Xenopus tropicalis: one gene and its partners. The protein of the gene in region 3 interacts with the protein of the main gene of each other region in a pairwise test. Links are inferred from orthologs where the notes say so. Each region holds a gene or a part of one and is shown on either strand. Other genes may lie near its edges.

Region 1 (4,185 bases), on a different chromosome or scaffold from region 3:
TGGCTGGTGGGCATGTGTAGCTCAGAACAGGAGACAGGATCAAGTTACACACATGTTCAGAGAATAGGAAGGCTGCCGCTGGCACCTACAGGAAGGGGAGAGAGATTTCAGTGATGTCACTTTAGTCTTCACACTGCTGTAGGCTGCCAGCACCATATCTCAGAGAAGCAAGCAGGGATCTGGGAATTTAGATATGCAGTAAGTACTTAAAAATAATTCCTTTAGACTTACTTTTAATTTATATTAACCTTTCATTGTCCTTTAGAGGAATTATTCTACAGGTATGGGATCCATTAACTGGAGACTCATTATTCAGAAGGCTACTACCTATGGTAAAGACCATCTTGCATAGACTCCATTTTAATCAAATAATTTTAAAACATATTCCCTTTTTCTAAAGTGGTACCTTGTGCTTGCTCCCAACTAAAGCTGGCCATACATACACCAATATAATAGTACAAAACAATTTTCGGACCATGTTTAGGCTCCTATTTACCTTCCCGATAATTCCCATACCATGGCCGTCAGTCATTTAGTTAATCAGACAGGTTAAAAAACTTTGGTCAGATAACAATTAAATCTGCTAATATATTGTTTTTCCAACAATATCCTTGGACCTACAATGCATTTGTGGGACGTCACTTTAGTATGATTGGTGTCTGCCAACGAATTCATTTTCAGAACATCCTCTGATTTGTTATTTTAAGGGCTTTATCCTACAATTTCAGTCTGAATGTTAGTTTTAGATCGTTGCATTTAAATGTACAATTAATATCTGAACATTCGTCGGAAGAAGACTAAAATCTGCACGTGTATGGCCACCTTAAGACATAATTAATAATTTACTTAATTAATTGTTAAACCAATTCTATTAGGTTTATTTAATGTTTAAATGGTTTTTAGTAGAATTAAGGTATGGAGTTTCAAGTTACAGAAAGATCCCTTATCTGGAAAACCACATGTCCCAAGCATTTCGGATAAAAGGTCTCATGCCTGTACTTTTATTGCAGGCACACATTTGTAAAATGGATTAAATTTTCATGCATTATCTGTGTGAATGCTAGGTCTTCAATGGTTAAATCTGCTGCCACCTTTGTCCTAAGCTTCCAGGTATTGATGTGTTTTATTACAACAGCACGAAGAAGCCTAAGGCTTTCTAAAGGTTATGCAAGAGTATGATGGTCCATGTAAAAGACTGCTTTCTTATTAGCAGTTAAATCATCTGAATGCATAACCGGGCCAGTAGAGGGCAGACCTGTTCAGTTACCTTTATTTTAAAGCTGGTTTTCTCTGTAACCGAGTTCTTTTTCGAAAAAGCTGAAGAAGTGGCAGTCAGGAGCTCCTAGTGAAATGATCTGGAAAATTGTATTTATTCTTTTCTACTTTCATACAAGTAAGTGCCTCGAGTTATTTTTAACTTTCTCTGTTTCCTCATGGGGTGTACAGTCTCTGTACATAGCAGAGTTGTAGTTTATTAAGCTATTACCTTATCCTTTGTTGGTCAGGCAGTAATAAAAGGCCATAGCTGTAATCCAGTCTGGAAGAACAAGCAAATGAAATAAACTTTTTTTTTTAATCTATCTTTAAACTTCCCCATACTGTAATGGTTGACTTCAGTCTGAGAAACAAAGGGTAACTGAACTTTTGTTATTAGGGTATGAGTTGGCCCTAAACTAATATAAAAAGTGTGTATAAACTTGATTTGTTTACAGGATTAAGAATAATTAAAATTTCAAATGCATAGTGTTGATTATATTAAAATGTATTTTTAACACTTATTAGAGCTAATCTATTAAACTGCTCTGAGCAGTCAAATGCCTTTCTGTTCTATGGGCTGTTAGCAGCTCAGCTGCAACTGAGTTCTAATGTGAATTGTTGATTCCCTTGTTCAAGGTAATAGGGGATTAGCCATTTTTTACAAGCTCTTTCCCATGCTGACCAAACAGATTAATAGTTAAACCAGTATAGGAACCGTTGCTCTTGAGTGGGGACTTGTATGTTAGAAACCCCTAGACATAAAATGTTATGTTGTGTTTGTTTATGCAGTTATTTCTCAATGATATGTCTCGCCCAGTTAACTGTCCCTCTGACTGAAGTTTATTGAGGAGCTTGCTGGAATCATATCGGCATGTTCCTTAAAATGCTTTTAAAGGGGAGTATGAAGATCATATGGAATGGCAAACATCATTTCCTATCTTTCACCTCTTTAATTTTCTGTGAGGAGATTATAACACAAAGTACAGTGATATATATATAATACAATAAAGTATGAAAATGCACAGTAATAACCAAGCTTGCAGCCAGCCTTATTGTAAATGACTGTTTAAGCTAAACTAACAACACCTTTATAGAAAGGAGTGGTAATGAAAGCAAACCTTCTGCATTTAATGTTTCCGTTACACAACCCCAAAGGGTTCACTGTAGACATTATGGTGAGTACAATAATTGCTATGTATGACTGCTTAATAAAATAAGCATGCTTTTGTGTCAACAATTGACAACCCATACAGGACTGTTTCAACCTGTGAGTGACATTTTTCCTTTGTATAGTGCCAGTTCAGTAATTAAAGGAATACTGCCATGGGAAAACATGCCAAATTCTTAATTTCCCAGGGTACTACAACCATGTGACCTGTGCTCTGATAAACTTCAGTTACACTTTACTGCTGAACTGCAAGTTGGAGTGATATCACCCCCCTCCCAGCAGCTGATCAGCAGAACAGTGGGAAGATAGCAGCTCCCAGTAGATATCAGAATAGCACTAAAAAGTAAGAAATCCAAGTCTGGAAAAGCTCAGACTCAGGCACAATCCACTGAGATGGCTGCCTATAAACCAATATTACAACAACAAAAAAATACATTTGTTGGTTCAAAAATAACATTTTAGATGGTAGATTGAATTATTTGCTGTGTAATTTAAAAATAGAAAATATACAGTAAAAATCATGACAGAATCCCTTTAAAGTTTGCATGATTTACTAGACATAAATAGCAAAATGGGGTTCAAGAAAGTGTTCTCAGCAGTGTTCCCTTTAAAATGCTTGCACCTTCAGTTGACTGTACAAATGCGGCTTGCATGCTTAAAAGTGCCCTGATATACACTGATTGGTATGGGCAACCATCCGTTACAGAATAAGTGATACCACAGAGGGCTAAGCACTAAGCTATTAGTTCCTATTTGTTTACCATTAATAATTATAAGATATCACATAGGGACATTATTATTCACAGTTGGATATCTGATTTTTTATGATGGTTATATGTCAGAACACACTCCCATCTTATCAATGCAAATCGTAAGATAATTTTAGTGACATGTTGATTTATATCACTAAATATATTGCTCAAGCCTCCTCCCATACTAGTCGACTGTAATATCCCTTTTCCCATTATACTGTCGCTCGCTGTACTTGCTCCTTTAGCTGATTCACCTTTAGTTACACTTAGGGGGCCATTTACTAACCATCACATTTTTTTTACCCGATTTAAGAGTTTTTCACTTAGTCGCAAAAAAAAAAAGTTCAGACTTTTCTGAGGTTTCCTATGTGTCCAAACAGCTAAAATTCTGAATCCCACTCACCAGCTAAAACATGCCGAGATCATGTAGAAGTCAACAGCAGATGTCCCTTCCCTGAAGAATTCTTCTTTTGCTTCTAAACTTTAGAGGTTTCGGATTTTTGGTGCTTTTTTTTTTATGGGGCAAGTCAAAAAATTCAGATTTTTTTTTTTTTCAAGATTTTTCCCGCACAGACTTTAAGTTCAGACATTTGCAGAAATGACTTTATTTGAATTTTAAAATAAAAATATAGTTTTAGTAAATCTGACCCTCAGTTATTAGCTCAGTGATCCCCAACCAGTGGCTCGGGAGCAACAATCACAAATAGCCAATCACAGCCCTTATTTGGCACCCCCAAAGACATTTTTACATGCTTGTGTGGCTCACCAACACTTTTTACATCTGAGTGTGGCTCACCAGTAAAAAAGGTTGGGGATCCCTGCATTAGCTATAGCCTCATGTGCTCCTTGGCCAATGGGTGTTTCTTAACATAATCTGATGGCCCATAAATGGGCAAATGAACTACCAACTCTGCCAAGGGTTGTGAGTCCGCAGCTAATATTTGCCTGTGTAAAGGCACCTTACGTTTTGTTCCTAATTAGGCATGAATTGTTAATTTCCAATAAAAC
Region 2 (4,246 bases), about 22 Mb from region 3:
TGATTGAAATGCTCGTCTTTCAACTCTCCTGATATTAGTGAATTAACTTGCTCTATTGAATGCACATGAAGCAGTGATAGACTGACTTCTGCACAAAACGTTGAAAAGTGACATGGTGTCAAACAGAGCTCAGCAACAACAGGCCTGTGGCAATCGTCTGATTCTGGCAAATGCCAGAGGGGCTGCCCGACCTCTGTGTACTGGAAATACCAGGGCTTAATTGGAATCTTAGGGTTGCCACCTTTGTCAGGTTATTTACCCGGACAAAGGGAGCACGTGATGACATAATTTAATTATGTATTTGGCGACATGAGGATGTTGGTATTGGGGATTATTGTGTCCACTAGATGCAATTATGAAGGTTTCTGCACAGTTTCCTTGATATTGAAAACTGGGCAGAAGGTTAACAAACTAGACAGGTGGGAACCTTTTATTTGTTAGTATTCAGAGTGAAGACTGATGAAGAGGGCATTCCCTCCACAGCTGGGACGGCAGTGCAAAACATCCCATGTATCAACCATAGCTGAAAAACTTGACCATCTTCAGACTAAACACAGCCAGTGCAGGCGTTTCCTATTTGAGCTAATGGGGACTGTCGGACTGGGCCCTCAGGGGCCCACCAGAAAACCTTAGACTATAACCTTAGAACCTTAAAACCTTAGACCCACTCTCCAAACTATAATTTCCCCTAGTCTCTTTTATTTACATGCTAGCATCTATTCTTCCATCTATTTCTCCTCTTTGGTCCCATACAGGAATAGGGCAAGACCATGAAGCAGGCCAAATGGTCAGGAGCAGGAGAGCCCACTGACACCTGGGCCCACTAGTTTTCCTGCTGGGCCAGTGCAACACTGGACTGAAATACACCAGCATACACAACACCTATGTGTTCTGAGCCAAATATATATACTGCAGGTATCCATATGGACGTCGGAATAGTGTTTTAAGTATCTCTTAAAGAATACAGCCTCTCTTTCAGTGCCATGTAAACACAACAAGGAAACAAAACAGCGACAGGTTGGATTTCCAATCTGTTGACGTCGCTCTATTTAGAATGCTTAAAGATTAGCGGCAATTATGACAAATGACTACCGTTTGAAGGAATTGTTTATTAACATTAATAAACGAGTTGCTGGCGCATTACTCACACCGGACGGTCAATGTGTAACGCGGAATGACCACGTGGATAGTGTTACTCACGTACATACCCCTGATAATGAGCAGCATTCCTACGGCTTGTCCGGTCCATCCCGCCTCTCTCGGCTTGCACTGTTATCCCTCTTTCCCTGTGTCTCCCTTTAATCGTCACTTCCAGTCTGAAAGACACAGTCACATCCGGCACCCGGGAAATCACACAGACGGCGAGAGATCGTCGGACAGCTCTTGTTACTGACTGAGACAGCGACAGCTTTACTGTGACTAGCGATGTAGGATAGCAGGAGTGACGTAGGTTTGAGAGCCCGAGTGAGGGGATATGTAATGCCCAGCTCGCCGTGCCTGGGGACACCCTACTAACTGTGGCGCTTGCGGATCCTGTCACTCCAGTTCTAAGAACACGGAATAGTCGCGTTGTGGTATCAGACTGATACAACTACACTTTGCTTTCTCATAGAGCTTGGCGCAGTGTCTAATGCTGGCATGTCCGTCTCCTGTCCCACTCGCAAGAAGCTGCTAATATTTCATTTACTGAACTGAGTCGCTGCATAAGAAGATGGAAATATTACACCACACCAGCAATTCTGGCTTAAAATCGTATCATTTCGGCTAATCCCTTGAACTGGGATCATGAGTTTTTATTAACCACTGTTTTTATTTTTTTTAAAGCCAGTGAAAACATAGTCATTTTGTTAAAGTTCCTTTTTTGTATTCGTAGTCATTTAGATGTAGGACATTTTTATTATAATTGTTATTATAGTATTAGGAAATGAACGGATTTTCAATCAAGGAGCTGTGCTGCGTTTTTTGTTGCCCGCCATGTCCTGGTACAATTGCTGCAAAGCTGGCTTTTGTACCTCCCCAGCCCACCTATGCTGTAATACCAGAGCCAGATGCCCTGCCAGCCGGAGGGAATGGACGAGTTGGAACTGGGGTCCTAGGGAGATGGAAACTACACCTCACAGACCGGGCAGATTTTCAATACACTCAGCGGGAACTGGACTGCATAGAAGTTTTTATGACCAAGAGCAGTCGTGGGAATAGGATTGCCTGCATGTACATACGTTGTGCGCCTGGTGCTAGGTATGAAAGCAGGATAGCTTTAAGGCCTCTGATTTCTGGATTGAAAAAAACAATATCTGGTTATGTTTTGTAGGCAGGTCTGGACTTAAAAGAGGCCTGGAATTTCATATCCACAGAGGCACAAACAGTCCTTGCCACCCCATTAAATAGTGACTGTCTGTGGCAGGGTTCTTCACCCGACCTTTTTACCTGTAAGCCACACTCAAATGTAAAAAGTGTTGGTGAGCCACACAAACATAATACAATTTTTTAGGGATGCCAAATATGGACTGTGATTGGCTATTGGGTAGCCCCATGTGAACTGCTGGCCTGCAACTTTTGACTAAAGTTGTCTCTATGCTTCCAAAACTTGTCTCCAAGCCAGATATTTAAAAATAGACTTACTTTGGGTATACTGGGAGTAACATCATGTTACTCAGGAGCCACTGGTTGGGGATCACTGTTCTATGGCATCTTACAGCAGTGATCCCAAACCAGTGGTTCAGGGGCAACATGTTGCTCACCAACACCTTGGATGTTGCTTCTAGTGCCCCCAAACTTGGTGGCAAGTTTTGGTTGAATAAAAACAAGAATTACTACCAAATAAAGCCTCTTGTAAGCTGATAGTGTGCATAGATGCTACCTAATAGCCAATCTAAGCCCTTATTTGGCACCTCCATGAACTTTTATGATCCTTGTGTTGCTTTCCAAGTCTTTTTACATTTGACTGTGGTTCACGAGTAAGAAAGGTTGGGGACCCCTGTCTTACTTACTTACTTACAGCATCCCCTCTGGCATTTGCCAGAATCTACAGATTGCCAGTCTGGGCCTGTTTGAACATTACAGAAGCTCCCCCAAGACAAGAATCACACTAGGCTGTAATGTGACCTGTATGAGGACCAACTGGGGTGTTGGTGGTAGATATAAGTGTGAAGGTTTCATCATTGTGACTGCATAAAAATAAGGCGCAGTTCTTTTGGGTGAATGTGAGATATAGGTGTGTATCAAAAGTTTGTTACGCAAACATTCCATTAAAATGTATTGCTTTTGTAATTGTAAGTATTATCATAATTTTATTAACCATTAACCTACTTGGCATATTTTAAAGCAATTTGCAGTATATTTCATTGGCTGGAAGAGTATAGGTTTTGGTGGCATTCACAGTGGCATAGAAGATCCGGCTTTACCCAGTGATTGCAACCTAATTGCTGGAAGTAATTGCTGGCATACCGTGGCATCTGTGCTCTGTAAAGGGATGTGGGCTCAATACCATTGTAATCCAGTAAACTTTTCTTTTGTTAGCAGGGTCATTTAATAGTTTCACAGCTATTGGGGACCTGCCACCATATTGTACTATACAGGATAAAAAGCAGAGGGTAATTTTGTACCTCCACTCTACCTACATTTCTTTGCCTAGGGGATTGTTGTGTTTGGAGGTCAGCTGTGATACACCTACCATTTAAATCCCCCACCAACATTTGTAAGCTTTACACAAGCATATTATTTTATTTGATTTTTCTCTGTAATAATTAGACTGTACTTTGTCCTTGATTGTAGCTAAGCTAACAAAACCATAATGATGGCAAACAGTCATGTGATGTTTTAATATTAAGTGTATTTCCATATGCTAAAAACTTCAGATGCCAAGGCTTCTGCAGCATGAATCCCATACCTGGTACTTTAAAATGCTTGGTTGCCCTACAGCAAGCAACACCAAGAATGTTGATTATACAGGTGTGGCTACTGAGTTGTCAAGCAGTTTTGCGTCAGTGTTTGTGAAAAAAAAAAAAGTGGGACTAAGTTAACTTGAAACAAGATTTTTTTCCCTAAAGGGATTGTATCACATCTTTTCAAAACAGATATGTTGTGGAGCTCTGATGAAAATGATGGGTTTGTTTATTCTGGCAGATGCTTTGTTCTAAAGGTGCTGTTAAAATCACTGAAAAACAGGTTAAACGAATATCTGTTGCATACCAGTTTTTCACAAGATATCAGCTGTTTTCCAAGTTGTTTTCATTGCTTTTGATTG
Region 3 (4,279 bases):
ACTTTCAAGCAACACGTGAACATCCTTTCATTTAAAGATCTGAAATATACATTATGGCATTTGTTCTTTCCGAATTTATTTTAATTTTTTTTAAAGGACAATAATAGTAATTTATACATCATATGTCTAACAAAATTTGTACAAATGATGAATGCATGGCTAAAATAAAGTAATATTCAGTGGTGCCTTGGCTAATTATCAAAATGACCATTTTAATAAATTGGTCCAAAACCACTCAGAGAACAGAACCCAAACGGCTTGTTGTTCTGTTCCTAGCTCACCAGTGACCAGAACCATGTACAATAGAAGATGCTCTGCTCTTGCCTTCAACTGCGCATGCTCCAGGTCAGCTTGTGTATTATTAAGAGGTACATGCAAATAGCACAGTATTGGAGAGCGCAGGTGGTGTAATTTTATGGGTGGGGGGAATCGGGAGGGAACATATGTTGTCTTACAGCTTTGCTTGTCCTTTAAAACTTACAAATATTCATTATTGTAATGAATAAGATGAATCATTAGATCAGGTACATAGAACAAAGAAGACTTTCAATCCATAAATTAACAGAGCCAAATTAAAAGGAAAAAAAAAAACCCTAGTCCAACCACCCAGTTTCTAGATAGCATTGTCCGTTTGGTGGTATGTGGTTCACCTAGCAGAACTGTTCGGTATGGATAGCAGCGCTAAATCTTATTACTTATGCAAGCAAGTTAAACCCTAAAAAAAAAACCAAAAAAACTTTAATGACGTAAAAGTATAACCTAGGACACAAAGGACACAAAGGAATGAAAGCATTCTTCTAACGGCCTCTCTCCCAACCCATCCTATGACTTACCTCCCTGTACCCTCAGGAAGTCTGAAAAGTTTCTTTAAAAAAAAAAAAAAAAAATTGTCTTTTAGTGTACCTCCTTCAGCTGTACATGCTCTATGTCACCGAACAGAAAAGGACCCAATGCAATGCAAGATGGAGACTATTAACCCTTTTTAAAGGAGGTGCACTAGAAGAGATGTGTCTTTCCCTCCCTGCACCACCAGCTTGTGTGTGGGGATGGAGACCACTGGACTAATGGCCACAAGATCACTCCCTTAGCTGGGGTCTGTTACATTTTACCCTGCCCCACAATTAGTAAATGAGCCCTAATAACTCACAGGTCTATTCTATAGATAGGCAGTGATTGTAACTACTCTTTAATGAATTGCATGCATTAATGGTTAAAAGAATGGAAATAAATGAGATATTAAGATTTGTGTATACACACAAGTAAATTGCCAAGTTCTCCACATAAGGGCATTTATAATTAATATTTAAACTGTGTGTGCATCAATATAGTCTGTACCATCTTTATAGTGGAAAGGAAAAAGAAAAAGTTGGTGGCAAGACAAGTCAACCTGAAGAAGAGAAAGATGATACACAATTACTTTTACTAATATCTAAGGAATTCCTTTCAGTCTTTAAAGATATAAGGTTCACAGCTTGCCCCAATCATATAACTATGTGTATAGGTAACCTGACCTACAGTAAAATATGTTTGTACATTATCCCTGTTTACATTTCAAACTATAGAAAAAGATCAGACAGGTTTTGAAAATCAATTATGCATTTCAGCCCCAAGAGGTAAAATAAGTGCAAGTAAATGCTTAACTTTGTAACAGCAAGTGAACAATTGTTAGGGGTCAAAGATTAAAATGAAGGTGGAGCCTTTAAGGTTAGAGATATTTAAAACTGCAGATTATGGCCGGTGTGGTAACCTGCAAGTTACCTACCCTTTCACCATTTCATTATTCAGCTAATATGTGGCGTTTGTTTGCAAATGTATTAATTTTCTTACATTGACATTTCATCTTACTTTTGCTTGCTGGCTCTGCTACAAAGTTAGGAAACCAAGTACAGAACACAATGAGATTCCTATACAGTATTGTAGCTGCTGCAGATACAAACATATATATATATCAAGTTACTTTTATATATGATTCGAAAATGCTAAAAAAGTGCAGTTTGGAACACAGATACACAAAGCTGACACTTTTACTAAAAACAGAAAGTGCTGCTTCCCCTTCCATTAATATCTGTGACAGAGAAAGAGCAGTGACACACAGGGTTATTTCCAGCAAACTGCTGCCTGCTTGATTTGGTGGGTGGTAAAACAGCAGAATTCTCACCGCTGTTTAAAGGGAATTATAAATATAATGTTTAAGGATGAATTCAAGCAATTAAGTGAACAGTACCTCCAGACAAACTCTGCATAGTACAGAACTGTATAGCTGCTTGGATTTAGCGAACTATACTGTGACACATATACATCATCCAGGTATTTGCCAGCAGGTGAGGCAATGCACTTCTAAACAATGCAGGTTGCTGGGCTGCACCATTTTTTAATACTAAATATTAAAGCAGCCCCTCTATCTGGATTCACCCCCCTCTCCACACACATACACATACATGTATACATATGACCTGTACATGTAAGGAGCCCATGTCATATACGTTATATGAAATACTATATTCAATGCTTTGCTAAATTAAGGCTTTTTGGTTTCATAAATGATTGTTCAATATAAAATAATTGTGTGTACTCTAATTTTCAACTTGCAAAGTACAAACCAAATCTGTAAATGCCCATTACTAAATATGAGCTCATTATATATCTACAATTCCCGCCCTGCAAACAACATGATACTTCTGATAACCTAGCATTGTAGGCTAAAATGAATACATGATATACTTTTCCTGTAAAGATTAATAAGCAAAGCTTTCTAACAACGTTACCTCAGGAACACAATCTGACCACAAAACTTCCTCTGCAAGCACTCAGGCGCAATGTGATTGCACGGCGCTGTAACTGGAGATTTATAGCAGCAGATGAGGAAGTGCGCAAGCTCCGCCCCTCCCCGAGCCTAGGAACCAGAGAGTGTACAGAGTGCCCTCTAGTGGAAAAGAAAATGCATTCCATTTATTCTGTAGCTTTTTTTCAGAACATTTTTAAGCAGTGTTGGAACCGGTGGAAATGTACATATGTAGTGTTTCTTGAAATATTTGCTGTTCATTCTGTTAGAAACAGTTTTTGGTAGAGGTATAATTGGGAATAAGTACAAGCTAGTAAGGAATAAGTATACAAAGTATTAGTGCCTAAGTAAATATGAGAGGAAGGGTTTGACGCACATAGTTACGTTTGCTTTTTAATACAAGTGCTTTTGGATGAGCTCAGCATATATTTCTCTATTTCAATATATTATGTATGCACTGACAAATGCACAGAAATGCAGCATGTTGTGTTTTAAAAAAATTAAGTGTGCTAAAAACTCAGATCTGAATGTTCATGTGTGCAATCAGGTAAGAATAAAATGGAATCACTAAGCTCATGCATTTAGCTGCTCTCACATCTGTATTTCAGACATGTGAGTATGAGTTTGAAGCCTGTAAAGACTTTTAAGGCTCTGTCTTGCACACAAAACCAGTCTACCCATGAGGTGGCTTTTTTATGCATTCCCCATGGAAACACATAGGGGCACATTCATTAAAGTACGACAGGGCTGAATACAAAAAAATCGTATTTTTTCTAAAGTTTACAACTTTTGCATATTTTCTGCTATATTTTCGTTAATTTGTGCAACTTTTTCGTACTTTGCGACAATTTGCTTGACAAAATCGTAATGAGTACGAAAGTTTCGGATTCATTCAAGCTTCGTTATCATGACTTTCCTTGGGCCAGGTTGGAGCTGCAGAGTGCCACTGAGTCCTATGGGAGGCTTCCAAAATCATAAAAATCAGAAAGGTTTTTCCGTATCGTTCGGATACGAAAATCAGATCGCCATTCGCAAACAATCAATACGAAAATTTCGGATCGTAAGTACAAAATCTTCGTATTCAAACAAACTGATTTTTTGTGATATTTGTTCTGAATTTGTCACGCTGAAAGCATTGTTAATTGCCTAGTAAATTGTTTAGTAAATGTGCCCCATACTGTAGGTTAACTTGAGTCTCTGCTATGGGAATTGTATCCACAAGATGCCATGTAAAAGTTGAACTCTGAAATTGTGTAAATCTAATTCAGTATTCAGCATTCAGTGCACCTTTGCAGGTACACTCCTCCTCATAACACCTGCTGCTCTTTTGCAGGTTGAAATTAGTTGGGTTTGGTGGGCTAGCATACAAACACAGGTAACCATACTAAACTTTTTGTGTGATTTTTACCTATGCAATTTTATCTGTGCATGTATGGTTAGCTTATGCATCATATGCGTCAGACTTAAACATTTCAAGGGGTGTTATATGGCCATATC

The links.
Region 1: the proteins of hpgds (region 3) and meltf interact in binary tests that used the Homo sapiens proteins (3 or more experiments, as listed by UniProt). The two-hybrid records come from large-scale screens. The link is inferred for Xenopus tropicalis from reciprocal best matches to the Homo sapiens genes HPGDS and MELTF.
Region 2: the proteins of hpgds (region 3) and abhd17a interact in binary tests that used the Homo sapiens proteins (3 or more experiments, as listed by UniProt). The two-hybrid records come from large-scale screens. The link is inferred for Xenopus tropicalis from reciprocal best matches to the Homo sapiens genes HPGDS and ABHD17A.

The regions. Positions count from the first base shown.
Region 1 is NC_030681.2:106,114,321-106,118,505, reverse strand, and holds the start of meltf (melanotransferrin), read left to right. Parts: upstream 1-1,289; 5' UTR 1,290-1,350; coding exon 1,351-1,393; intron 1,394-4,185. UniProt on the Homo sapiens protein: Involved in iron cellular uptake. Seems to be internalized and then recycled back to the cell membrane. Binds a single atom of iron per subunit. Could also bind zinc.
Region 2 is NC_030677.2:98,290,613-98,294,858, forward strand, and holds the start of abhd17a (protein ABHD17A), read left to right. Parts: upstream 1-1,353; 5' UTR 1,354-1,924; coding exon 1,925-2,238; intron 2,239-4,246. UniProt on the Homo sapiens protein: Hydrolyzes fatty acids from S-acylated cysteine residues in proteins. Has depalmitoylating activity towards NRAS. Has depalmitoylating activity towards DLG4/PSD95. May have depalmitoylating activity towards MAP6.
Region 3 is NC_030677.2:76,717,114-76,721,392, reverse strand, and holds the start of hpgds (hematopoietic prostaglandin D synthase), read right to left. Parts: upstream 2,821-4,279; 5' UTR 2,766-2,820; intron 1-2,765. UniProt on the Homo sapiens protein: Bifunctional enzyme which catalyzes both the conversion of PGH2 to PGD2, a prostaglandin involved in smooth muscle contraction/relaxation and a potent inhibitor of platelet aggregation, and the conjugation of glutathione with a wide range of aryl halides and organic isothiocyanates.